7 linked regions of the Xenopus tropicalis genome follow. The protein of the gene in region 1 interacts with the protein of each later gene in a biochemical or structural test. Links are inferred from orthologs where the notes say so. Each region holds a gene or a part of one and is shown in the gene's direction. Other genes may lie near its edges. The genes, in order: jun, batf3, atf2, pin1, sp1, ets1 and atf3.

Region 1 (3,939 bases):
TATCATGGAAGCTGTAGCTCAGCAGCTGTTAAGAGTGGGTTTAATACTCAAGATCTCTATCAATTTCTAAGGATTTTCTATTCACTTTGGTGATAAACCAAATAGCCTGCCTGCTCTCTACCCATAAAAGCCAGTCTCCGTTCTCATGGATGCAACCTGATCTCCTGTAAACTTTTTAAGCCTCCCCAGCGCTCCCCCTACCTCCTTCACCCTGCTTCCAATCATCCTTTTTTTACTTTCATCAACGCCCACATCATAATCTACACACCCACCCACCAATAAACTCCCTCCCCCACCAAATTAAAAAAAAAAAAAAAAAAAAAAAAAAAAAAAAAAAAACTTTCCCTCACCTTTTCTCCCTGGCTATCCACCCCAGTGCAGAAAGGCATGATCATTAGAATGTAGCACATGCCTACACAACACTGGGACCCTTTTAATAACAATGATGCTATACAGCCTTACATGTTCTCTGTCACTGACACTGGTGTATCTATGCAATGTTGCGATCCTCAAGCTCTTGTTGAACTCCTAGTCACATACAGCCCCACCCCCACACACGGACCCGCAATGGCCGGAGGGCTGCAACTTGGTCTCCCCCGTGTCCTACACAAAGTAAAACAGCGAAGAGAACAATAACTATAAAGCCAGTAAAACTATACCACACTAATAACATTCTACCGAAAATAACCAGTTGTTTCAAAACTACAACTCCCAGCAACCACTACCACATTTTAGTTCGGCAACTAACAAACAACATATTGAAAAACCTGCCATACTGATCGCTTAAACCTGTGGAAATAATCTGTTTCAACTCTGAGTTTTCAGTTTCACCAGCCGACAAACACAGCCCAAGTCCTCCGGTTCCTTATGTGACAGACAACCATTACAACCATATCGCGCTTTGCTAGGAAAGGGATGAGTCTCCTCCGCGGCTTACGACTACCATACAATTGCCTCAAGCCCCTGTCCAGTACCAGGGGGTGAGCGGAACAGCCCTTATGGCGGGAAACCCACGTCAAACTACCATCCCAACTACCAAAGCAAGGAACGGGCACCGCCAACAACAATACGTCAGCCCACAATGCCCAGCGGCAAAGGAGCATTACCTCATCCCATGAGCCTTCGCGAGAGTTAGAATCTTCTAGGGCGGTCGTCATAGCGACCGAGGCTCATTTGGCCTCGCTGGCCCGCCTCCCTTCCCAAGGCTCAACCAATAGCAGGACGTTGGGGTGACATCATGTCTATTTTTAGTGGGTGACCGCTCGCAGATAAGTGTTAGCTGCACGCTGTCCCACAGCCCAGTACAAGTGAGTAGAGCTCACACTGACAGCACTTGTGGCGCTTGGGGAGAAGGAACGTCTAACTTCTCAGTGACTTCTTCCTTGTGTCCGTGTGCCTGACACCTATACTGGGCACACGCACACACCCAGCGCTCGCCATTACATATCTCCGGCGGCGCTTTGGAAACTTTCCCGGGAGTTTATAAGAACTTTTGTGGCGTTCGGAGTACGAGGACCTCTTTGCTGCTAGAGACACAAAGTAAGTCGCATTTATTTCTGTTATGTGCCAGGCTGGGAGCAGTTGTGCTTGAACTCTCACTACGGGACACTGCCAGTTGTAGTTCGGCAGGCGAAGCATAAGTTCCATTTAGAAGAGGGGTGGAGGTGCCATGGGGTTCGGTGTGTCAGCTAACAACCTGTTCGCTCTTCTCTCTAGGCTGGTGCTGGTGTCACACTAACGTAAGGTCCAGTCATCGTCCCTGTCCGGCATCCGTTCTATGACTGCAAGGATGGAACCTACTTTCTACGAAGATGCCCTGAGTGCTGCTTTCGCCCAGCACGATGCTACTCCCTATGGTTACAACAAGGTGCTGAAGCAAAGCATGACCCTGAACCTGTCGGACCCCAGCAGCGCCATCAAACCTCACCTGAGAAACAAGGCAGCTGAACTGCTCACCTCCCCTGATGTTGGGCTTCTCAAGCTCGCCTCCCCGGAGTTGGAGAGGCTTATCATCCAGTCCAGCAATGGCATGATTACCACCACCCCGACCCCCACCCAGTTCCTGTGCCCCAAGAATGTCACAGACGAGCAAGAAGGCTTTGCAGAGGGGTTTGTTAGGGCACTGGCAGAACTCCACCATCAAAACAACTTGCCAAGTGTAACCACTGCCACCCAACCTGCCAGCACGGGACTGACACCTGTATCTACTATTGCTGGAAACACTGGCTTCAACAATAGTCTTCACAACGAGCCCCCTGTGTATGCCAATCTAAGTAACTTTAACCCAAGTACCATCACCACATCATCGCCTTTTAACAGCAACACCATGGGGTATACCGGCCAACATCAGAGTAACCCACCAATACCCGTGCAGCACCCCAGGTTACAGGCTCTGAAAGAGGAACCACAGACTGTACCTGAAATGCCTGGGGAGACTCCTCCACTGTCCCCTATTGACATGGAGTCCCAGGAAAGGATAAAGGCTGAAAGGAAGCGTATGAGGAATAGAATCGCAGCATCTAAATGCAGAAAAAGGAAACTGGAGAGGATTTCCAGGTTGGAAGACAAAGTTAAAAACTTAAAATCCCAGAACTCTGAACTGGCATCCACTGCCAACATGCTTAGAGAGCAAGTAGCCCAGCTCAAACAAAAAGTCATGAATCATGTCAACAGTGGGTGTCAGCTAATGTTAACACAGCAGATGCAAACATTCTGAAAAGGCTTCTTTGGGAAAGAGATGTGAGAATTATTTTGTGGAGGGAAATAGTTTCATGTTGAAACTCCCTGGCTCAAAATGAAAGGCACTGAGACCTGACTGTTCTACGTGCGTGTGCGGGGAGTCCTGACAAGCCTTTAGGTGGAGCCTGTGGCAATGCAACAAGCAGTATCACTTGTCAAGTGCTGTTCCTGCTCTAATGAAACATCAGATACATGTTTAACATTGACCAAGACCTGCATGGACCTAACATTCGATGATCATTCAGTATTAAGAAAAGGTTAAACTGCTAGAGACACTAGATTGCTTCCGTAGTTTTCTTACAAAGGGAGGGTGTGGGAGGGAGGCATACGGGACATTGAAAAGTAAAATTAATGACAAATCTGCCTGCCTTCTACATAACTGTGTATGTGTACATATTTGTTTTTTTTATTATAATATTAAGAAAAACTGAATTATTTCAGTAAAATTGCTTCAAGCATTTGTAAGTTATTTTTATGTTTGGGTTAATAAACCCACTACTTTCTGTAAATAAGAGATATTGAGCACTCTTGAGTTTACCATTTGTAATAAAGTATAATAATTTTCTATGTTTTTGTTTCTAAGGACAATTCCAGACGTTCAATTATATTTAAGATATTAAATAAAAGATGTGGAAATTAGATTTTTTTATTTATATTGATATTTTTTTTTACACTGCAATAAACGTGCATGTTAAACTATCTCCTGTGTATAGTACTTGATATATTGCATGAGTCTATTCAAGGGTATTATATTTTGACAATTATTTGATATGGGTATTGGGCAATATAAAAGTAAAAGCAGAAAAGAACATACTGACCAATATTTTCTTTATATCATAGCACTTGGGGTTATTTATATATGCTATTATAAAGTTCTGGGCTTTTGGCAAGAGTTTGCTGCTGTTATTATATGTTTGAGGGGTTAGGAATGGTTTACAGTATTCTCCAGCCTTATTGGCTAAATAATCATTTCCAAATTGTGCACCACAAATACCAACTGGTTGCCAGCCCTCTTCAATTTTACAAATTGATAAATAGTTGCTTTTCCTAAGTTTATTGAAAAAAGAAAAGTGTAACAAATTGATATAGTAGTAGTAACTAAAGTAGCTACTGATGAGAATATACCAACTAATTTATTAAACTGTAGCATTTTAGAGTCCTTGTTTCTTAAGGTGCTACTGGGAAACACAAGAGGTGTGA
Region 2 (4,150 bases), on another chromosome or scaffold:
TGTATATACTCGAGTATAAACCTAGTTTTTCAGCACCCAAAATGTGCTGAAAAAGTCACCCTCGGCTTATACTTGAGTTGGGTGCCATGGGTCTCTCTAGACTAGCACCCTCTCTCCTTTGTGTGCAAATTAGGCCCCCCGCAACCAGACCCTCCAGTGCCCTGGCCTAGGCTCCCTGTAGCAATACTTATTTCCCCTTACATCTCCTCCGGGACTGGGTCTGCTGCCAGTTTGCCAATGTGCAATGATAGTGGGGTAGTACTCATATTGTTTTTGTTGACCCTCTTTAACACTTACAGAGCTAGTTTACTGTTTTTCTTTTAAATAAATATTTAAAGACATATACCCCACTGATGCCTCAATTAATGTAATTTACTGGTTTTTATTTTGATTATTGAAACTTAGCAGTAGCTAAGTCAATAAGTTTTTCCAGTTTTCTTAGGTAAAATTAGGTACCTCGGCTTATATTTGGATTGGCTTATACTCAAGTGGTATTCTGTATATTATGTATAAAGGTATATTGGTTAGTCCCTAAGCTGAGGTAAATGACAGCAGTCCAGAGCAGGTGCTGGGACATAGCAGGGAATTACTGGGGGCATCTTCAGAGGCACAGATCTTAACTTCTAAAGGGTTCTTGCCGCCTTGGACTGGTACAACATAAGGTGTAACATATCTATGTCAATTCTTTGTTGGGTTTTAGTTTTCCTTCACTTTAGCAGATTCTCTTGCTTTCCCATGGGGCCACAGTCACACCATCTAAAAAGAAGATCTGGCCTGCTGCCATTGATTGGATGGTGGGTAGGGCTGCCATGTTTCCTGGGGACAAGATACCAACATTGCTATGTCTGTTGTCTTTTCTTTCCTATTTGGCAGGAAGGGTCGGCTTGACTGACTGGTAAAATACTGGCCAGTTGGCAACCCTAGTGAGAGATCTAATGATGACAGACTGTGATCTTCTGCCCACCTACCCATCTGACTAAATCATACAATATTCACCTATAAGGTCTATAGACTGGTTATGCTTTTTAAATGCTCAAAATTAACAATTATTTCCTTTTTTAATTCCTAAAAAGAGAATCTTAGACAACCCACTTTCAGAACTGAGTATTAAATCTTTCCTCTGTGTTGTGGTTGAACTCCATTAGTAAGAGCTCAAGAGCTTAGCAGTAAACAAACTCGAATGAGCTGAAAAGGAAGTGGCTTGTTCATCAGAAACACTTGCGGCAGAGCTCACACTTACTCACTGGGTGCAGTCGCAGCCCTTTACTTACACATGAAACCTGCCTATAGGAGAGGATCATTGAATGTCTGTGCAGAATCCAATTAGCTGGCATCTCCCCCAAGCCTGGCATGAAGGTTGTAGACTTGGCTCTGGGCATCCTGATGGTCAAATGCATCTTTGTGTGGTTGTCACAATGTTTGGGTGGTACAGTGACAATGCCAAGAGATTGCAGTGTTTGGTCAAACTGCTTTATACTTTTCACAGTTCTAGAAATACATGTATGGGGCCTTTTATCCGGAAACCCATTATCCAAAAACCTCCACATTACGGGAAGACCATCTCCCATAAACTCCATTATAATTGAATAATTTTTATTTATTTATTCAATTTTTCTCAGTAATAATAAAACAGTACCTGTACTTGATCCCAACTAAGATATAATTACCCCTTATTGGGGGCAGAACAGTCCTATTGGGTTTATTTAATGGTTAAATGATTCCCTTTTCTCTGTAATAATAAAACAGTACCTGTACTTGATCCCAACTAAGATATAATTACCCCTTATTGGGGGCAGAACAGCCCTATTGGGTTTATTTCATGGTTAAATGATTCCCTTTTCTCTGTAATAATAAAACAGTACCTGTACTTGATCCCAACTAAGATATAATTACCCCTTTTTGGGGGCCAAACAATCCTGTTGGGATTATTTCATGTTTAGATCTTTTTTTAGCGGGCATGGTGTTCCAAATAAAGGAAATGCACCTATAAATGCTGCCTATACCCACTTTACACTCTCCTCTCTCTCTTTCAGAGCTCAGATACCAGCGACAGGAAGGTTCGCAGGAGAGAAAAGAACAGAGTTGCTGCCCAGAGAAGCCGGAAAAAACAAACACAGAAAGCTGACAAACTGCATGAGGTACAGTACAAGGGTTGGAAACCCATCATCCTTTTAGATATTGCTGAACTACAGGTCCAGCAGCCATCTATAGGGGAGCAGGTTGCTTGCTTTTGCAATGGTTCTTCCTTGCATACCTTAAGTGGAGGGGTTTACTAGGAAATTGATATGGTTTGGTTGGAATGGGGTATGGCTGGTTGAAAGTAGGCATAGTATATTTGAATCACAACCGCAAATATCTCCCAATTTAAACTGGGAATAACGGGATGCAGTGGTCCCAACTGACCCAATATAATCTAGATTCCAGTGGGATAGGAGGTTTGTGGGCTGTGCAAGAGTGGAGCACAAGCACATGGTGGACGGGACTTGGAAATATTTTTTTGTTGCTTTTGAAACAGATGTCTTTGAATTCAAAGGAAAGCTAAAAATAACAATTAGAAGTTTGCTCTAGTTCTAGTAACCCACAGCAACCAATATATGACCTGTATTTATAGTAAATTGAGCCATCTGGTTGCTGTGGGTCAGGCCCAGACTGGCAATCTGTGGATTCTGGCAAATGCCAGAGGGGCTGTAAGGTGCCACAGTCACTATTTATTGGGCTGCTGGGGGCTGTTTGTACCTCTGTGTAATTGAAATGGGTCCCAGTGCTGACCTGCTGTGGGTAACAGGAACTGGAGGAAACACAAATTGTATTCTCCTTCTACTCTTAAGGTCCCCATACACGGGCCGATTATAGCTGCCGATATCGGTCCCTTGGACCAATTCGGCAGCTTATCGGCCTGTGTAGTGGCAGAACCGAGGGGCCTGGCCGACCGATATCTGGCCTGAAATTGGTTGTTCGTTGATGCGGCCCCCGATCCGACTGCCCCATTGCCGCGTGTAGAATTCACCTACATGCCTCCCCGATATCGCCCACCTGTAGGTGGGGATATCGGGTGAAGATCTGCCCATGTATGGCCAGCTTTACAGCCATACAACCAGTAATCTGTCATTTTATTTTCATGATAGTTCCCCATTAAGCCTTAATACAGGTGAGGGAGTAGCCCATACACAAGATGACGTTTCCCATACATCAGCAGTGACAGATCCTAAAAGGACCACTTTCTCTCTAATGAACATTGTTTCTCTCATTTGACAGGAATATGAATGTTTGGAACAGGAAAACTCATCCTTGAAGAAGGAAATCGGGAAACTAACAGATGAACTGAAACATCTTAGCCAAATTCTGAAGGACCATGAGCAAATATGCCCGTTTCTGCACTGCCCAGTGAACTATGTGACGGTGCCCCGAGTGACAGATGCTGTTCCTGGCTGTTTGCCGCGGTGACTTCCTGGCTGTGAATGTCATTTCCTCTTTGACCTACGGCCACATTTTCTGCTGTATCCTGAAGCCAACAGAATCCCCCCCCCCCCCCCCCCGGTGCATGACGCCATAAACACCTCTGTGATTGTTACTGCAGGGAAAAGACAAATATGATGGAATCGACAACTTACCTATCACTGTTCCATGTCCTGTAAACCAAGATGGCTCCTGGAAATGAGAACTTGACCTCCTGGTTTCTACTGCTGCTTTGTCTAAGGAAGGCCAAGCGCTACACCCCCTTGTTCTACATGAGCGCAATGAATAGGGCTTGTGCTGAACATACTTTTGGATTATTGTTTTTTTTATCAGAAGAAATCTATGATTTTTGTTATTTCTCAAGCTAAATAAGGAAACTAAAGCTGCTCTATGTTTGTTACTTGCAAGAATGTTATTACCAGTATTCAACCCCCTCCCTTCCCCTTTGTTGTGACTGTTCTGTTAGGAGCAGCCTATTATGCAGGGAGATTATCTGTGCACTGGAATCGAATTATCTACTTCTATCTACTATTTATGCACCAAACATGGAGCAGCGTCAGTTTCCCTGTTTTCTCAAGAAACATCAAATAACATAGATTTTTCTTAGTTAAATTAATAAACAAAAATTATGTTTAGCCCCCTATTCATTTGTTTATTTTATTTCCCCTACTTTCTAACTCAATATAATTAATCC
Region 3 (3,500 bases), on another chromosome or scaffold:
ATAACTGCTGGGCATGTGATAACTGCTGGGCATGGATAAGACAGGCCATGCTGGTGGAACCCTGGAAGTAAGTTTGGATTTAATAAAGATTGTATGTCAGCCAAGCAACTCATAGAAAGTGGCATAGCTGTCCTGCTTCTTAATACAAAAATAAAAACCTTTAATTTAACCTTCCCCTTAATAAACAGAGCATTTTGGGTGTGAAAAAAGTTTAAAATTCATAACAAAGTGACTGCTCACAGAACTAATTACATTGACTGTGACTGTTTTCATTGACTGTGTTCATGGAAATATGCAAAAATTAATTCTACAAGTCTGTAATTTGTAGGCATGCCTATCATGTATAGCGCACTGAAGTGTGTAACTTAAAAATACTTGCACTTGTTTGCTGTAAAGGGAAAGTATACATTCTCATGGAGAAAAATAAGCTATGGAACAGTTCCTCAGCCAAATTTTGACATATATTTAATTTAACTGTTATTCTGCTTATATATAAAAAAAAAAATTTCTCCATGAAAAGCTGGTAAGATGCCATACTGCAAGTAAATGAGCTCTGTATTTCTGCTGCAGTAACGTCTGAGTTATGCCCTTGCCCTGTAGAGCTTACAATCTAAGTTGACACGTCACCCAGAAATGGCAGGCATGTAGTTTAACTCTAAACTAAGAGCTCTAACACATTTCTGTTTTGGGCATACGCTTTTAATGTTCTAAAATAAACATTCAACAGTACAATAATTTGATATCTTTGATATTTCCTAATGGGTTGCAGTCCAAGGCTCCTGATTGTATTGTAAAAATAGGCTTTCTATGTCCTGGCTGAAACCTAATAATTACCAATGTTGCCAATGTTCCAAGACATAGATCAGTGTTTAAAAGGATAACGTACATTTGATCACTGATTTTGGATGTGCAAAGTCTGTGGTTGCCTTGTTTTTAAGGTTAGCATCCCTGCTTTTTTTTTCTATCCTCAGACCAGTTCCAGCTCCTTTTCCTCTATTGTTACATCTTCCTAATGGACAAACCATGCCTGTTGCTATTCCTGCCTCAATCACAAATTCCAATGTACACATACCTGCTTCAGTCCCAGTAAGTTTGTATGTGTGTGAATACTCCATATTCCTAGTAATGTTATTGTGCTGATCCACCAGTCTTTGCTGTGTGCTGTTTCTTTTCCCTTGTTCATCACACACTAACATTGACCTTTTTTATCCAATTCTTTTATTTTTCCTAAGAGACAATATCTGATTATTTATATTTTTAAGGAAATGTCTTTGTTTTAATTTTAATATGTGAATGCATCAATCTATAGGCATCTTAAGTAAAAATGTGTATTTAACTTAAGGAAAAGCTATTTCTTACAACATTAGTGCTTTTTGTATGTTGTGATAAAGCTGTGCAAAGTGCTATAGTTTTTGGGATGGGGGCAGTTTGTCTTAGTTTTGACAAATGCAGCATGGTAAAGTATAGTCATGTTTTTTTATTTTGGTTTACAACTTTGTTGTACTTAAATCGGGGTCCAGGCCTAAATCCAGCCCTATTTAATTCATTATATTTCAGTTTCTCGAGTCTAAACTTTAATGCCGGCCCATGTAGGCTTCATTGAAATTCCCATGCACAACATTAATGCAATAGTGGCTGGTTTTGGGTTCCCTTAAGAACCTGGCACTCCAAGTGGTTGAAATACTCCCGTGTGCCTTTAGACTAAATGGTTGTGCTGCTGGAGTAGATCACAACAAAATGTTAATTGAAGCTGCGCAAACAAAACAACTGGACTAAATATATTAATTTTAATATTCTCATCTCTTGTGAAAGATAATACATATATAAATGAAGATTGAAAATAATAGTACAGGTATGGGATCTGTTATCTGGAAATGTGTTACCCAGCAAGCTCAAAAATATGGTACAGGTATGGGACCTGTTATCCAGAATGCTCAGGACCTGGGATTTTTCGGATAAGGGATCTTTCTGTAATTTGGATCTCTATAACTTGTCTGCTAAAAACCATTTAAATATTGAATAAACCCAATAGGATTGTTTTGTCTCCAATAAGGGGTCATTACATCTTAGTTGGGATCAAGTATAGATATGGGACCTGTTATCCAGAATGTTTGGGACCTGGGGGGTTCCGGATAAGGGATCTTTCCGTAATTTGGATCTCAATAACTTAAGTCTGCTAAAAATCATTTAAATATTGAATTAACCCACTAGGATTGTTATGCCTCCAATAAGGATAAATTATATCTTAGTTGGGATCAAGTACAAGGCACTGTTTTATTATTACAGAGAAAAAGGAAATCATTTTTAAAAATTAGACTCCATTATAAGCAAATAATTCTATGGGAGATGGCCTTTCTGTTATTCGGAACTTTCTGGATAATGGCATTCCGGATAAGGGATCCCATACCTGTACAATGTTCTGTTTTGTAATTACAAAGAAATGGGAAATCATTTTTAAAACTTAGAATTATTTGCTTATAATGGAGTCTATGGGAGACGGGCTGTCTGTAATTCTGAACTTTCTGGATAACGGGTTTCTGGATAAGGGATCTCATACCTGTACTGCCACTTCTTACAGAGTCCTATTTGAACAAATTGTTCATAGTTTGTGACTGATTTCCCTTTTTTTCTTTAATAATAAAACAGTGTCTTGTACATGGGATGCTCCATAAATCCACGTTGATGGAAAAACCTCTCCTGTTGGTGTTTTTTATGGTTAAATATGTATTAGTAGCATTAAGGTATGTTGCTAAACATTACTGTAAGATCCCTCACACTAGTAACTGTGAAAGGAGAAAGCAAATCTATAGTTAGGGACCAGCTTAGTAAAGGTTGGGTTTTTTTTGTTGCAGAAAAACATCATTTTTTTTTTTTGCTATTTATTATGTGTAAAAACGGCAACAAATCTAAAAGTAAAAATACGTCATCTAAAAGCTGTTGAGGTCAAAGGGAGCTGTCCTAGACAAATTGAAACAGTCTTTCTTTGCTTTGGGGTTTTTTACTCTTTATATGTGCAACAAAATGAAAAATTTGTGTTTTTCACATTTTTTCCACTTTTTTTTGTTCATGGTTTTTAAAAAAGGCTGTATTAATGAATTCATTGGCATTTGTGGTTTTAGAGAAAATGAGTTTGTTCATGGTTTTAAGAACCTCAAAAACCATGAAAATTAGAATGTTGATAGATGATGGGACTCTGCATATATACTCATTTAACTGTGTCCCAGAAAGTCAACCTTAACTTCACATACCTATCAGGGTTATCTACAATTTACCCAGTTTGCTGGGATACAGAACTTGAGTTTAGCATGTAATTAATGCATACTTGGGCCCACAACATGAGAACCTAGCCTTAGGCGTCAGGGAGTGGCCAGTTACCAGCGGTGGGAAAAGCCGACTAGTTAACAACACAGTGGAGAATTCTAACACAGTATTTTGCAGATAGCTGTAGGCACAATTCTACTTTTATTCTGCTGTGCTTACTCCTATAAGAGCATATTACA
Region 4 (4,259 bases), on another chromosome or scaffold:
ATATTAAACTTTGGTGCTATAACAAACTGATAATTGTAGGTAAAATAATACCCACCAAGTAGATCAGCAAGAAAAGAGTTGCGCCCAACGTGGGGCTCGAACCCACGACCCTGAGATTAAGAGTCTCATGCTCTACCGACTGAGCTAGCCGGGCACTTGTGAAACTTTCCATTTACCACTACAGCCCCTCTGTAATGTACTATCATCCCAGTTCTCTTGTAAAAATCCGCCTACAGTTTCAGTGAGCATGCAAAGCTGCCATACATGATCTCGTCACACAATAAAATATCACTAACTATCATCTTTATTTTATTCTATATTATATATAAAGCTGGCAAGCTTTTTTTTAATAATGGCTGCTGTTATAAAAACGATTGAGCAATAAAATAAAGGGCTGTTGTTACAATTAAGCAAAACACACTTTCCCTGACCGGGAATCGAACCCGGGCCGCGGCGGTGAGAGCGCCGAATCCTAACCACTAGACCACCAGGGAAGGTTGTATGTGAAATTGCCAGATTTATTTTTCCAAATCGCCAGTCAGTTCTAAAACCAGTGAAATACTAGTCCAAACCCACTTTGAAAGTAACCCAAAAATAGCCCAATGTGCAATGAAAAAAATTCTACAAAAATAAAAGTACATATGGGAAAACCTGCCTTTTTAAAGCATATAATCACTACCCAGTTACTGGAATGGCTGATAATTCCCTGCCCTCTGTGCCCAGTCCAGCTGGGAAGTCGCTACAGAAATAGATTCAGAATCTTGCATTAACCCCAGACTTATAAATATGGGTGCGTTCAACTACAACTCTCAGCAGCCCCAAGATAACTACAGACCTGCCCCCACATCACATACCCTATAGAGCAGGGAGCAGAACATACAGGTTGAGCCTGAAAGAGCAAAAAGGAATAGAAAACGGAGCCTCTGGCTAAACTGCCCAATTGCAAGCTGGGTATTGTAGTTTTATATTACTCCTAGTTGTAGGCTAATTGTTAGCTACAAACTACATTACCCAGCATGCAGTGGAACAAGCACACTAGGGGAAAAAACTGGCTAGGTTCCAAACTACAAACCCGCCAAGGCTCCAAAAACTAGTCCAAAACGGTACTTTGGCGGGTTTGTAATTTAAAAACAAACCAGGGCTTTAAATTAGTAGCCCAATTTGGCAGAAAAACCGCTAACCTGCCACCCATGCTTGTGAGAGCAATTTTAATGCGTAAGAATAGAGAGAGACGCGAACACATTTCTGCGCATGCGTCATACTGCTGCCAATGCGTACAACCTCTCAGCCCCGCCCCTTGTTTTATTAATTACTCCGTTTATTCCGTTACAGCCAATAGTGGGCGCATATCATTTCCCGCCCTTGCTTTCGGTTTTCAGGCTGACTACGTCGTCGGCAGATTAGTTAGCTTAATGGCTAAAAGCTTAGCAGGGACTTAACCAATGAGAAGCGCCGAGCTGACGGAGTGGTTTGTGTAGGCGGGGCTTGGCCTGACGCAGGAGGGAAAGATGGCGGACGAGGAGAAGCTACCGCCCGGGTGGGAGAAGCGCATGAGTCGAAGCTCGGGTATATGGAGTGTAGCGGGCACAGTTGTTATATAGAGTTAGTGCAGCGCTGGTTTGCTTTGTAGCTGTTCCTATTTTATTGTGTCTTGCACTGTGCATAGCGTCCTGATAAAGGTGCTGTTGCAAAGCTGCAGAACTACAATTCCCACTTTGCATTGCGCATTATAGTATTTAGTCGCCTGTAAACAGACTAAGAAATGCTAAGCATTGACTGCTTCTGCTACTGTATGGGGCCATGACTGGTGCCCTAGTATCTGCACCTATCTGTTCAGTGTCATTTGTGTCAGAGTTCGATCTGTTCCTGCTTAGATGCTGATGTGTCTGTGATTAACATGGTGCCTTGTGGCTATGTATTGTATGTATCCTGCTCGGGAATGGTCTTCAGTCAGGAGCCAAGCAGGCAAGGCCCTTCAGAGATCCTTAGTGGGGCCTAAATTAGTACAGTGGCCCCTGGGAAAGGGCCGTGGTATAGTAGGGAGAGATGGTGCCTATAGTAGCAGTGGGGGGATAATAGCCTCTGGGAAGGGACTGGGGCTGTGGGATAGCAGGTATAGTAGGGAGAGATGGTGCCTATAGTAGCAGTGGGGGGTAATAGCCTCTGGGAAGGGACTGGGGCTGTGGGATAGCAGGTATAGTAGGGAGAGATGGTGCCTATAGTAGCAGTGGGGCGATAATAGCCTCTGGGAAGGGACTGGGGCTGTGGGATAGCAGGTATAGTAGGGAGAGATGGTGCCTATAGTAGCAGTGGGGGGGATAATAGACTCTGGGAAGGGACTGGGGCTGTGGGATAGCAGGTATAGTAGGGAGAGATGGTGCCTATAGTAGCAGTGGGGGGGTAATAGCCTCTGGGAAGGGACTGGGGCTGTGGGATAGCAGGTATAGTAGGGAGAGATGGTGCCTATAGTAGCAGTGGGGGGGTAATAGCCTCTGGGAAGGGACTGGGGCTGTGGGATAGCAGGTATAGTAGGGAGAGATGGTGCCTATAGTAGCAGTGGGGGGGGTAATAGCCTCTGGGAAGGGACTGGGGCTGTGGGATAGCAGGTATAGTAGGGAGAGAGAGCCTCTGGGAAGGGACTGGGGCTGTGGGATAGCAGGTATAGTAGGGAGAGAGAGCCTCTGGGAAGGGACTGGGGCTGTGGGATAGCAGGTATAGTAGGGAGAGATGGTGCCTATAGTAGCAGTGGGGGGATAATAGCCTCTGGAAAGGGACTGGGGCTGTGGGATAGCAGGTATAGTAGGGAGAGAGAGCCTCTGGGAAGGGACTGGGGCTGTGGGATAGCAGGTATAGTAGGGAGAGACGGTGCCTATAGTAGCAGTGGGATAATAGCCTCTGGGAAGGGACTGGGGCTGTGGGATAGCAGGAATAGTAGGGAGAGATGGTGCTTATAGTAGCAGTGGGGGGATAATAGCCTCTGGGAAGGGACTGTGGCTGTGGGATAGCAGGTATAGTAGGGAGAGATGGTGCCTATAGTAGCAGTGGGATAATAGCCTCTGGGAAGGGACTGGGGCTGTGGGATAGCAGGAATAGTAGGGAGAGATGGTGCTTATAGTAGCAGTGGGGGGATAATAGCCTCTGGGAAGGGACTGTGGCTGTGGGATAGCAGGTATAGTAGGGAGAGATGGTGCCTATAGTAGCAGTGGGGGATAATAGCCTCTGGGAAGGGACTGGGGCTGTGGGATAGCAGATATAGTAGGGAGAGAGAGCCTCTGGGAAGGGACTGGGGCTGTGGGATAGCAGGTATAGTAGGGAGAGATGGTGCCTATAGTAGCAGTGGGATAATAGCCTCTGGGAAGGGACTGGGGCTGTGGGATAGCAGGAATAGTAGGGAGAGATGGTGCTTATAGTAGCAGTGGGGGGATAATAGCCTCTGGGAAGGGACTGTGGCTGTGGGATAGCAGGTATAGTAGGGAGAGATGGTGCCTATAGTAGCAGTGGGGGGATAATAGCCTCTGGGAAGGGGCTGTGGGATAGCAGGTATAGTAGGGAGAGATGGTGCCTATAGTAGCAGTGGGGGGGGGGGATAATAGCCTCTGGGAAGGGACTGGGGCTGTGGGATAGCAGGTATAGTAGGGAGAGATGGTGCCTATAGTAGCAGTGGGGGGATAATAGCCTCTGGGAAGGGACTGGGGCTGTGGGATAGCAGGTATAGTAGGGAGAGATGGTGCCTATAGTAGCAGTGGGGGGATAATAGCCTCTGGGAAGGGACTGGGGCTGTGGGATAGCAGGTATAGTAGGGAGAGATGGTGCCTATAGTAGCGGTGGGGGGATAATAGTAGGGAGAGATCGTTTGCAGCTTATTGGCCCATGTACAGTGCTGCATTCATAAGTAGCACTATTTACAAAAAAATTATACATAAATGCATGTATGGTGACGAGAACTGAATTAGTGCGTTTATGTTGTCCTTGACTAATGGGTCTGCATAGGGCCATTTTAGAATCTGCTTTTTATTGGCCCAGAAGCCAGTCAATCTGAACAATCCGATCTGGCTCAGATCAAATGAGCAGATATGTTAATGTATGAGTAACGCTATGCTATGAATTCTCCTGCTTTTTTTTTTATACCCAGTTATGGCTGCTTGTGAGTATAGACGTAAGCAGGGAATAAATGTTCTTTTGACATAGCAAACTTTGGCTTTACTTTACTGCCTGTGTACTAGATACTCTTGCTGTACTTTATAATCAATATAGCTGTC
Region 5 (4,139 bases), on another chromosome or scaffold:
AAAGTCGTGCGGACGCCCGAAAAAATCGGCGAAAATACGCTCGGAGTGTTCACGCTTTTGTAAATGTGCCCCTATGTCGTTTTGCCTCAAGCAATATGGGAATTGAGCTACATGGAAGCATCAGCAAACTGTACTATAAAATGGAAGCTTAATGGTGATGGACTCAGTTACACCTTTAGGGCTCTGGCACATGGGGAGATTAGTCGCCCACGACAAAACTTCCTGTTCGCGGGCGACTAATTTCCCCGAGCTGCCTTCCCCTGCCATCCCACCGGCGAAAATGTAAGTCGCCGGTGGGATGGCACACGCGGCGGCGCGATTTAGCACAAATCGCCGAAGTTGCCTCGCGAGGCTTTTTCGCCGATTTGCAGGGGAAGGCAACTCGGGGAGATTAGTCGCCCGCGAACAGGGAGTTTTGTCGCGGGCGACTAATCTCCCCGTGTGCCAGAGCCCTTACAATCTAATAAATACAGCCAGGACTGTTTTCTCAAGAAAAGGCATTCATTTTTTATTGAGCAATATATTTCTATTAATGATAGGACTGACAATGCTTTACTGGACTGGCTGCTTAATAATTATTGATATCAATTTGGAAGAAGTGGCCCAATAAAGAAAATAAGCCTTATATATTGTGCTCGGCTTTATGTAACCTATGTCACTTTTTTTTATTGTTGTAACTCTGATATTTATTCTAAACCTGCTATTTTCTATGCACGACCCGTCCATCATTCCCTCTCTGTATTACAGATAATGCGGCCCCTTTAGTCACGTAGCCACTCAGTCGCAACTCCGACTGCTGCCATCTTGCTTCCTATTTGCACGTAGGCTGATGCCGAATAAAAACGAATACTTTAATAGCTGTGGCCAGTTATTCTAAATAATTAAAGAGCGACATTCTGCAATTCCAGCAAATGGCGCCCAAACCCTACAACGACCAGTCAAACTTTAATTTCCCTTCCCCTCCTCACACAGCTCTTCAATTGCTTGCTTTTCTCGTATGATTCGTCACTTAATGAAACGCCTTGGACTTCGTTCGATTATGATTGGCCCTTTTCAGTGTCACTCTAACCTTGGGAAGGGTTCAGACTAGAGAGCCACCACCCCCGCCACATTCTTTCATCTCCCTCCCCCATCACACACCGCCTCCGTGGCTGGGCGGGGTCACTCCACCTCTAATTGGTCAGCCTTCTCTGTCAGTCTCCAGCTAACTGCACCCACCGCGCCACCCCATTGGGCGGGTGGAGCCGCCCCTCGGCGGGAGTGGTTAGGCGGTCTGTCGATCTCCGCCCGTAGCCCCGCCTACTCACCGTCTCCGCCGCGCGGCAGCCAGGTTAGGTTGCCATCGTCAGCCGAGGTTTGTGTGAAGTACCTACGGCCCCAGAAACAACATGAGCGGTAAGCAGGAGAGTGGGCATAAGGGCGGGAGGTAACGCGGGTTCGCAAGCTTATCCCAGAGCCCCTCCTGGCTTGCTCGCACGCAGCTTGTGTGAGGGATCGCTCCCCCTGGCCACTTTGTGGGCTTTTTGCTGCGCGCCATGACTCGCTGGCGGAATGCTGAGAGCGGCCGGTACCACCGGAGGAGGAGGCGGGGGTGTAGAAATAAAGTCATATCCGCCCTCACTACTTCGTTCGTTCTCCTTCCTCGCCCCCTTTTTACTTTTCCCTATAACTGGAGAGGTGGTTGTGGCGGTAGAACCCCTCCCTGCTGTCCTCCTCTCCCGCCCTGTTTTTCTGCCCCCTTCGGTGGGTGGGGTAGAATTGTAAAATTGCCCCCCGCCCCTCCTAGCATGGTAGCCGGTACTTTTCGTGACACAGGGAAAGGGCAATACGTGACCCTAAAATGTTCCCCGGAACCCGTTGCCTTCGCCTATAATGTGAAGCCTGCGGCCCTCCTTCTGTAGCCCCCCCTGCCCAGAGCAATCCTTGCCTCACACTGGGGATATCTGCCCCTCTGGCGCCCAAACACTCCCAGTATCCGTAGCTGTGGGGTATCTGTAGTTCCCCTGAAACCATTATCCGCCCTCAGCTCGGGCAGTTTCACTGACATCGTATGGATGGGAGGGACCTTCATCCGGTAGATCCCTTCATTAACCTGCTGAACGGGGCCGCTGGGAGTTGTAGTTTGCCTCTGGAGTTGCCATTACTCGCAGGTGAAGCCTATGTAGACCATTTATATTTATTTGTAAATCATTTTACTTCTAGAACGTACTCCTCTACAGAGGGTTGTGGGAGTTGTAGTTCCACAACAGTGCTGCTAAGGCTATCTAGGCTGATAGATGGGAAACATGTTTGTGAGTCTCTTCACTTCCAGTATTGAGAGGTTTGTGAGAGTTGTAGTTCAGCAGTCTGTTTCTAAGCTGAGGGGTTTGTGTTTCTCAGGGAAGTAGGGCCGGCCATGTTGTAAGCCTGTGTGTGCATGTTTACTCACTGCCCTCACTCACACACTCTCTCTCTGTGCTTGTGCCCTTCGCTGACAGCAGATCAGGAGCACACGTCCGATGACATGCCTACGATAAAGTCCGAAAACCGGACAGGAGGTGGATACATCCAGAAGGGGCAGGTAAGCGGAACCCACCCATATTGCATTATACACAGATAGGCAGGGACCATGCCTGGGAACTATCCAGCCCTCTCGCCTTGGCTGCCTGTACACTGGATGAGCATGGGGGAGGGGGGCTGAGGCCTTTTTTTTTTTCCTCCTTTCTCTTTGAGAATGGCTGCTGTCCTCCCACCCTTTGGCTGGCAAACCTCCCACCCCCTGTTCCTGACTGCCCACTTGGGGCAGGCCCCAGAAACCCTTCCCCCCAGCCCTGTCCCTCCTGTTCTCTCTCTGGCTGTCTCCTTGACATGCTGGTTTGTTTACATGCTGGCACTCTTTGTGCTGTTGCTAATACTGCAAATGGCACCTAGGACATAGCCGTAGAAGGGTTAAATTGACATTCACGTTCAGTCTTGCATCTTATTGGCAGCTACATTTTTAATTAAATTCAGCAACTGCATCTGCTGCTTCGGCTGGTGGGGGCCGAGTGTAAATGGCAGTTAGGGTTAAATCTGCTCAGATTTGTAGCAAAGGCTGGAAAGGCAATGCTCCACTAAATTTCACTGAGTGTTATTTTTGCTATTGTGCAACAATAAAATATCACTTACAGCACACACCCAGTTTATTCCATTGTGGGTAGTACTGTCTTTGTACCAACACCCACCTAGGCATGGTTATCTCTGCAGCTTGTGCTGTCTTAGGCCATCGCAGGAGGTGGCGCCCCCAACTGATGATGTTGGATATCTTCCCAACGCTGAACCATGTATATGTAATAGAGTGCTACAGCTATAGAATCCCTTATCCAGAAAGCTCTAAATTGCTTGCAGACCATCATAGAACTAAGTTTAAAGGGCACCTATCACCATTTAGTTTCTTCCCGCCACCAGAGGTGTAGGCTTTAGAGCCCGCATTCTGGAAAACAATAGGTTTTTTTTTTTAAACAGCCCCCACGGGCGGCCATGTTATTTAGCGTGCATGTGCATAATGAGCAAGACTCCTCACTCATTGTGCGCAAATGTGTGACGTAGGAGCAGCACACACACACACACATATATATATATATTATATGTGTGTGTGTTTCCCCCAACCAGAGTGCGGGCTCTATTAGCCTGCACCAGGATGTGGGGAAAGCAATTCGATGTGATATTATGCTAATAATACTAATTTATAAAAATGATTTCCCTTTTCTCTGTAATAAAACAGTAGCTTGTAATCGATAGTATCTTAGCTGCATAAATCTGGGGCAAAACAATTCTTTTGTGTTTTGTATAGTGATGCAAATTACTCAAATCCCTTAAACCTAGGTCCATGCATTCAGGGTAATAGGTCCCATTCAAAGCTGTTTGTTTTTTTTTTTTTTGACAACAAATTTTCTTCCATTATTGACTTTCCATTATATTTATTATTTTAATGTAAAATAAGTAATACTGTGTGTTTTTCCTGGGAATGCACACTAACATGCCTGGGCAATGACCCACCTGCACCATTACCTCTCTCACTAACATTGGGGTAAGCTAAGGCTAATGCCACACGTAGCATATGGTGCATTGGCCTGCCTTCTCCTGTAAGGTGGTCACTCTTTCTACCATCTTTCTGTGTG
Region 6 (3,239 bases), on another chromosome or scaffold:
TCATATCTTTTCTTTACCATTCATCCTAATCTCTTGTCTCAACCTTCTATAATGTCTTTACTGATCTAAATTATACTTGGATTCTTTCTGCCGTGTATTGGTTCATGACTTGGGTTTGGAGAGTCATCTTTTATGTGTAGACCAGACAACTCTCATGTTGGATATTTCAGGTGGAAATTTTCTTTATGTTAAAGTGATCAGACCCATTCTTATTGTAAGTTGCATTCCCTGTCACCCGGGATTTGTATTAAAGCATCAGTTTTCAGCCTTATAAAAGAACTGCTTTAAAATGACACCCAACCTCCAGTGTTGTAACGAAGAAGTTCACAAAAACTATTTTCCTGTTATCCTCATCATAAACAGAATTCTATTATTATTATTATTAGTAGTAGTAGTATTATTATTAGTATTAATATTATTCTTAACTGTGGTCATTATTCAGCATAAGAGCAAATTATTGTTTTAAGGCAAGTTATTAAAGGGCCAGAACCTTATATAAATAAGTGTTCATTTTTACTGACATGCTGAAGTATCTGTTCGCTGCCAGTTTAGAACTATGCCTGATTGATGGTGATTTATTGCTCTTTGTGTTTAGCTGCAGCCATCTTGATCTTGATGATGTTTACACAGCCCGGTTTGTTCACCAAATGTAACCAAGCTTTTGATTATAGTAATAGGTTAAATATGCAAACAGCAGGTTTCTGTAATTTTCTCTTGGAATTTTCTGTTGGTTTTGGCCCTGTAGAATCCAGGGCATGCCATGAGGTTCCAAGCCTAAACCTATGTAGAGTGATGCAAACACAATGGGTCTGTTTTGGAATGCAGTCGCTTCTAGATATGCAGTGAGCAGTGGTTACAGGGTCTCCATTCCTTGTGTGTACAGAGCACCAATGTGCTAATTGCTTGCTTAACATTAGCAACTCAGCTTAGCAACTCAGCAGTTTTATGTTATACTTTGTGTTAATTGTCACAGGCTATCAGCAACTCAAGGTTAGTAGTTGTGATGATTAAAGACAAAACAGCAGGCTAGAGACAACTCTGGCAATGAAGGAGTTATTATCGCATGCTAAGCTAGTAGATATCTACAAAAAATATTTTCTAACTTAGAGAGAAAAAGTCATCTTGAGCCTGAGAATGTTCCATTCGCCGTACACTCATGGGGCTTGTGGTCATGGCACAGAACAGCTGTGGCCTGAAATCTGGAGCCAAAAGTGTGCACGGGTCACAATGCGCTTAAACTCAAGTGAATATGACATACACTAAGCATTCGGTACTAATGCAATACATTTAACATTGGATGGGTACATATTAGACTCTTTGTCTGTACAACACAGCCAACATGTCTTTTGCTTTTTTTTTTTTTTTTTTCTAGTCGTGCTGTGATAATGTCTGCTTAATAATAAACATTTTTATCTTTCTTCTCAAAGGGCCAGACAGCATTCTAAGATGGACATATAGGAAAATGTGGGACAGAATAGTGTACTGTCTTGAGGTTATTTTTAGGCAAGAGTTCTCTTACCCCTCCCTTGCACCACCAAGTGTCTGAATAGGGAGACATTTTTTCCCAATGAGATTGCCACATTCCTAACATGTGACAGATTTAATCACCCCACTGCTCTTTCTGACATGGCCAGCCTTGCCAAAACAGAGGCTTTATTGTGCACAGGAATAGCATGTGAGTCCCATTGACTGGGTATAGACTTTGAACCCTATTGAGGGCATGTGTCACTGGGATAGAGTGAAGTACAGAAGTGTGCTGTTTTCATTGGTCTTTTATGCATGTCTGTAGGCCTTGGGTAAAAAAAAATGTTCAGTCATGCTTGGGAATCCGTTCTTAGATAAATTATACAAATCCTAGAGCACATAACATGGATATTGCTTGATTATTTGACATAGTTCGTAAAGTAATTGATAGAGAAAAGGTAATTTCACATTTCTTCTAAAGCTCTATTCTATTATACCCCAGCAAGCTCTTATACTCTTATACACTCTTATACAGTGTGCTTGGTTGGGACATTAGCCGGGCCACACTGAGTAATACAGGAACCTCATATTTGCTGGTGAGTCAGTGTTAGTTCATATTTATTAGCAGGCTTATTTTTAGATGGATGTATGGTAAGAGCTGTAAGAAGAAGAGTGGTACACGTGGTTGGGCTCTTGCCTCTATAACATAAAAATTCTGTTGTGATATGGCTTGAGAAAAAGCCTGTCACTGCACCTGCTTTTTTTGTGTGAAAATGTGTGAGGGGGAGAGTTTATCAGTTTAGACATAGGAGGAGGTAGCAAGAGACCATATGAAACCCAAATTTCAGAGATTATCGCACACTCTTTTATATTGAGAAATAATTTGTATCCTCTGAAGTCATGGTATATATATATTACTGTAACAGGAAGAAGTGTGAGGGTTAAAGACAGAACATTGCCCATTCATTGGCTGATGTGACCTAACATGTATGTGTGCCCTTGGTTTGTTTGTGTGCACTGTGAATCATATGTTCCCAGGAGGCAGCACATAGTACTTAAAATTACAGTTTTTCTATTTGATTATCCAGTAACACTTACTACTAGAAAAGTTCATTTTTATGAAAATGTTGTATTTGGATTAAGCTTGCTTAACATATGGGCTTTTTTGTTTTTGTTTTTTTTTTTTAGATTTTTATAGAGACCCTCATTGTTTAGGGGGTATTGTTTTCCATTAAGTTAATTATTTTTATGTGTGTACATCGATTACTGTTGATATTTGAGATTTATCCCCCAAAATGTAACCATACAATTCTGAACTTTTCATTAAGAGGTCTTAGAAAGGGAACAAGAACCAGATTCAGCTATCTTTCATTTCTTATTTCCTTATAGGAAGTGGACCAATCCAGCTGTGGCAGTTTCTCCTGGAGTTACTGACAGACAAATCGTGCCAGTCCTTTATCAGCTGGACAGGGGACGGCTGGGAATTTAAGCTCTCTGATCCAGATGAGGTAGGTTATGGTGACGCAATAAATGCAGATGTTTTCCAGTAGGAAATCAACATTCAAGTCAGACTCGGGGTATGTGCACAAGCCTGCCTGGGATTTATACACCCAATCTACATCAGCTGCTAAATCTTTAGTGCATGCACCTCTATGTTTATGATTGCCCATTCAGGATAATCAGGATATGGTCACCATTTGCCACATGTCTGTATGATGTTTAAAAGCTTTAAAGAGACCCTAAAGAAATAACTTCTATGAATAAATGTATATTTC
Region 7 (4,171 bases), on another chromosome or scaffold:
GGGGCATCAGGAGAGGAAGGCTGGGGGGCATCAGGAAAGGAAGGCTGGGGGGCATCAGGAGAGGAAGGCTGGGGGGCATCAGGAGAGGGAGACTGGGGGGCATCAGGAGAAGAAGGCTGGGGGGCATCAGGAGAGGAAGGCTGGGGGGCATCAGGAGAGAAAGGCTGGGGGGCATCAGGAGAGGAAAGCTGGGGGGCATCAGGAGAAGAAGGCTGGGGGGCATCAGGAGAGGAAGGCTGTGGGGCATCAGGAGAGGAAGGCTAGGGGGCATCAGGAGAGGGAGACTGGGGGGCATCAGGAGAAGAAGGCTGGGGGGCATCAGGAGAGGAAGGCTGGGGGGCATCAGGAGAGGGAGACTGGGGGGCATCAGGAGAGGAAGGCTGGGGGGCATCAGGAGAGGGAGGCTGTGGGGCATCAGGAGAGGGAGACTGGGGGGCATCAGGAGAGGAAGGCTGGGGGGCATCAGGAGAGGAAGGCTGGGGGGCATCAGGAGAGGAAGGCTGTGGGGCATCAGGAGAGGGAGACTGGGGGGCATCAGGAGAAGAAGGCTGGGGGGCATCAGGAGAGGGAGACTGGGGGCATCAGGAGAGGAAGGCTGGGGGCATAAGGAGAGGAAGGCTGGGGGGCATCAGGAGAGGAAGGCTGGGGGGCATCAGGAGAAGAAGGCTGGGGGGCATCAGGAGAGGAAGGCTGGGGGACATCAGGAAAGGAAGGCTGTGGGGCATCAGGAGAGAAAGGCTGGGGGGCATCAGGAGAGGAAAGCTGGGGGGCATCAGGAGAGGAAGGCTGTGGGGCATCAGGAGAGGAAGGCTGGGGGGCATCAGGAGAGGAAAGCTGGGGGGCATCAGGAGAGGAAGGCTGTGGGGCATCAGGAGAGGGAGACTGGGGGGCATCAGGAGAGGAAGGCTGGGGGACATCAGGAGAGGAAGGCTGGGGGACATCAGGAGAGGAAGGCTGGGGGGCATCAGGAGAGGAAGCTGGGGGGCAGATTAGGAAGGTGACCCGACAGCACGGTGCAGGGCAGAATCCATCCGCCTCCCATGTGTTTGTTATGTGTGCCTCCAGGCAGCAGGCGGGGAATCGCTGGGGTAACAAGGAATAAAAACAGCCAAACAAGCCAAAGGCGCCCTCTTCCTGCTCTTTCCCTGCTGGGATCCTCCTCCCGCCGTCACATGCCAGCAGCCTGCAGTCATTGTCCCCGCCTGGGCACCATTGGCTCATACCGCTGCCGTGTAGGAGTTAATAATGACCCTCTTATGGCCAGAGGCTTCCCCCCAGTGTCTGTGTAGCTCCTCCCTCCGCTCCTCCCTCCCGCACTACTTCCCCGGTCCCCCCGCTTGCATCACCGCCTGGGCTATTAATAGAATGACGTCAGGGCGGGCCACATTCCTCCGCTCTCCGTGCGCGGCTATATAAAGGGGTGATGCAACTGCACTGCCACAGCTTCTCCCAGTCAGAGCGGGGGAGGCACACGGGCAGCCGAGTAGTACAGCCAGCGGCAACGCTTCTCCCTCACTTCCCACGGAAAGAGCACGGTAAGGACCGGGGAGGCAGAGCCTCGAACGGTACAACTTTCTCTCTTCCTGAGTCCCTACTTCCCCGCCGGGCAGGCTGAGCCGCAGCGCTTACTCCTCTACTTTCCTCTAGCTTGTTGTGTAACCAGCCCGGTCCCAACTCCGGGAAACTTCCCTACTCTGCTGCCGGAGCGGGACTCGCTCATTGGCTCTTACAGGGGCTTTACTTTGTGCCTGGGCTGCTTACTTACCCTTTATTCCAGCTGTGGGATAACTTTCCTTATGTATAAATCTACCATCATATATATATATATATCTGCCATTTCTCCCATTTATATATATAGTTTTGCTTTACTTTGTGCCTGGGCTGCTTACTTTCCCTTTATTCTTTGCTTATTCGCTGCCTGAGTTTGGGCAGTGGCCCCTGAGCCCCCCATTTTATTCCCTGTGTTACACATGGGGGAAAATGTATAATTTTATCTTTGGAGGGGATATAACAGTATTGCCTGGGACTTATCGCTGTGTGATAACTTTACTTATTTATAAATCTACCATCATATATATATATATAAATATATATATCTGCCATTTCTCCCATTTATATATATAGTTTTGCTTTACTTTGTGCTTACTTACCCTTTATTCTTTGCTTATTCGCTGCCTGAGTTTGGGCAGTGGCCCCTGATCCCCCCATTTTATCCCCCACACCGGTCCCTGTGTTACACATGGGGGAAACTTTATAATTTTATCTTTGGAGGGGATATTACAGTATTGCCTGGGACTTGTCGCTGTGTGATAACTTTACTTATTTATAAATCTACCATCATATATATATATATATCTGCCATTTCTCCCATTTATATATCTCCAATATGTAGTATATGTTTCATTTATATATCATCTTTATCTATATATCTCCTGTCATCTATATAATCCTATTTATATTTTTCTTTTTAACACTATATTATAATTTTTATATCATTAACTATATATTGTACACTGTCATTTATCAGCTATATATCTGTCATTAAAATATCTCTCATCATCAATCTCAGCATCTCTATATTTCCCATTTTGTCACATCATCAATGTATCTCACATTATAGTTCATCATCTATAGATCTCTTATTATCTGTATATTTTCTATCTTTTATATATGTGTCATTAACTATATATATATATATATATAGTTAATGAAACATATATAAAAGATAGAAAATATACAGATAATAAGAGAACTATAGATGATAGTTTTAATAAGAGAACTATAGATGATAGTTAGTTTTATATATAAATATATATATATATATATATATATAAAACTATCATCTATAGTTCTCTTATTATCTGTATATTTTCTATCTTTTATATATGTTTCATTAACTATATATATATATATATTTATGTATCTGCTATGTATCTGTCTATCTTAATATAACTCTCATTAATTGGATATCTGTCATATCATACGTATAGCTCCCATCTTTTATTTATTTCTCATTATTTATATCCTGTCTGTATATCTCATGTCAGCTTTATTCTGTCATTATATATCTCCCATTATCCACGTATCTCTATATAGTCTCATTTATATATCCCATTTTTATATTTTCATTTCTATATCTCATATATATATATATATATATATATATATATATATATATATATATATATATATATCCTCAGGTGTATATCCTCTATTATCTCTATATCTAGCCATATATATTTCTCATTTACCTATGTCCCATCATCTATATATCTTCTGTAATCTGTATATCACTCCATGTCTATATATCCACGTGTAGCTGTTCATCTAGTTGAATGCCTGTTTTATTTCTCTCACTCTTGTATCTGGGTACCTGTATCTCTTGCAGTCTCTTTACTTTCCATCTGTCTCTCTCGCTCTCACTGTGCCTCTCTGCTGTAGGAATGGGTTAGTATATGTGTATGACCGTGAGTGCCCCGTTGGGATGGTAGTTGTGAGTGCAGTTTAGTTGAACTTTTCCCTTAAGCTCATTATTGTTACATTGGAGACAAAGGGAGATCCCGGCAGGCAGAGAGTTTGGGCTTTGCCCTCTGTATGAAGAAGTGAAGGGCCAGTTGGCTGTGTGTGTGGGAGAGGCAGCCCAGTTCAGTGCCCGGCACACCCAGTACCAGTACACACATAACCTCGGGCTGCCTTTGTCCCGCGCTGGGAGGTTTCAGTTGCAGCCTGGTGATGAAACTGCTGCCTAATACTTTCACTTCTCCCTCCTGTGTCCTGTGTACGTACTGGCCTCAAGGTGGCGGTACATTCCAGCAGGAACAGCACACTCAGGGTTCCGGCAGGAATTCCAGCTGTAGGATTGTGGTTAGAGCTGAGGATCTGGCAGCTGGAGCACCGGCTCTCATGGGCAGCACATTACTGTGCTTTAGTAGCTGCATTGCCAACAGTTACAACCAATGTATCAACAGTTCCAAGAAGTATAATATAAAGATAGGAGAATATAATATTATAGTATAATAGGTACATTTTGATTGTTGTTTGTCTACCCCTTTAATTAGTTGCTGCTTGCAATGGGGATCAGATAGGATCTGTGCCACTGTAACGGAATGCTCTGTTATACAGATAGCTAGAATCTCAGCCATAAAGCAGGGCAGGACTGCTGCTTACAATG

Evidence for each region.
Region 2: the proteins of jun (region 1) and batf3 form a complex in vitro, tested with the Homo sapiens proteins (2 studies listed by BioGRID and IntAct, with this or other methods). The link is inferred for Xenopus tropicalis from reciprocal best matches to the Homo sapiens genes JUN and BATF3.
Region 3: the proteins of jun (region 1) and atf2 form a complex in vitro, tested with the Homo sapiens proteins (4 studies listed by BioGRID and IntAct, with this or other methods). The link is inferred for Xenopus tropicalis from reciprocal best matches to the Homo sapiens genes JUN and ATF2.
Region 4: the proteins of jun (region 1) and pin1 form a complex in vitro, tested with the Homo sapiens proteins (2 studies listed by BioGRID). The link is inferred for Xenopus tropicalis from reciprocal best matches to the Homo sapiens genes JUN and PIN1.
Region 5: the proteins of jun (region 1) and sp1 form a complex in vitro, tested with the Homo sapiens proteins (2 studies listed by BioGRID). The link is inferred for Xenopus tropicalis from reciprocal best matches to the Homo sapiens genes JUN and SP1.
Region 6: the proteins of jun (region 1) and ets1 form a complex in vitro, tested with the Homo sapiens proteins (2 studies listed by BioGRID). The link is inferred for Xenopus tropicalis from reciprocal best matches to the Homo sapiens genes JUN and ETS1.
Region 7: the proteins of jun (region 1) and atf3 form a complex in vitro, tested with the Homo sapiens proteins (2 studies listed by BioGRID and IntAct, with this or other methods). The link is inferred for Xenopus tropicalis from reciprocal best matches to the Homo sapiens genes JUN and ATF3.

What each region holds. Positions count from the first base shown.
Region 1 is NC_030680.2:86,738,570-86,742,508, forward strand, and holds jun (transcription factor AP-1), read left to right. Parts: upstream 1-1,272; 5' UTR 1,273-1,777; coding exon 1,778-2,716; 3' UTR 2,717-3,439; downstream 3,440-3,939. UniProt on the Homo sapiens protein: Transcription factor that recognizes and binds to the AP-1 consensus motif 5'-TGA[GC]TCA-3'.
Region 2 is NC_030681.2:14,411,603-14,415,752, forward strand, and holds the start of batf3 (basic leucine zipper transcriptional factor ATF-like 3), read left to right. Parts: upstream 1-1,350; coding exon 1,351-1,406; intron 1,407-1,975; coding exon 1,976-2,138; intron 2,139-3,255; coding exon 3,256-3,444; 3' UTR 3,445-4,150. UniProt on the Homo sapiens protein: AP-1 family transcription factor that controls the differentiation of CD8(+) thymic conventional dendritic cells in the immune system.
Region 3 is NC_030685.2:64,397,698-64,401,197, reverse strand, and holds part of atf2 (cyclic AMP-dependent transcription factor ATF-2), read left to right. Parts: intron 1-971; coding exon 972-1,086; intron 1,087-3,500. UniProt on the Homo sapiens protein: Transcriptional activator which regulates the transcription of various genes, including those involved in anti-apoptosis, cell growth, and DNA damage response.
Region 4 is NC_030679.2:136,780,425-136,784,683, reverse strand, and holds the start of pin1 (peptidyl-prolyl cis-trans isomerase NIMA-interacting 1), read left to right. Parts: upstream 1-1,459; 5' UTR 1,460-1,508; coding exon 1,509-1,566; exon of another isoform or gene 1,567-1,602; intron 1,603-4,259. UniProt on the Homo sapiens protein: Peptidyl-prolyl cis/trans isomerase (PPIase) that binds to and isomerizes specific phosphorylated Ser/Thr-Pro (pSer/Thr-Pro) motifs.
Region 5 is NC_030678.2:146,984,287-146,988,425, reverse strand, and holds the start of sp1 (transcription factor Sp1), read left to right. Parts: upstream 1-1,339; 5' UTR 1,340-1,388; coding exon 1,389-1,395; intron 1,396-1,702; exon of another isoform or gene 1,703-2,050; coding exon of another isoform or gene 2,051-2,150; intron 2,151-2,477; coding exon of another isoform or gene 2,478-2,480; coding exon 2,481-2,560; intron 2,561-4,139. UniProt on the Homo sapiens protein: Transcription factor that can activate or repress transcription in response to physiological and pathological stimuli.
Region 6 is NC_030683.2:72,029,909-72,033,147, reverse strand, and holds part of ets1 (protein C-ets-1), read left to right. Parts: intron 1-2,853; coding exon 2,854-2,972; intron 2,973-3,239. UniProt on the Homo sapiens protein: Transcription factor. Directly controls the expression of cytokine and chemokine genes in a wide variety of different cellular contexts. May control the differentiation, survival and proliferation of lymphoid cells.
Region 7 is NC_030681.2:14,463,323-14,467,493, reverse strand, and holds the start of atf3 (cyclic AMP-dependent transcription factor ATF-3), read left to right. Parts: upstream 1-1,371; 5' UTR 1,372-1,535; intron 1,536-4,171.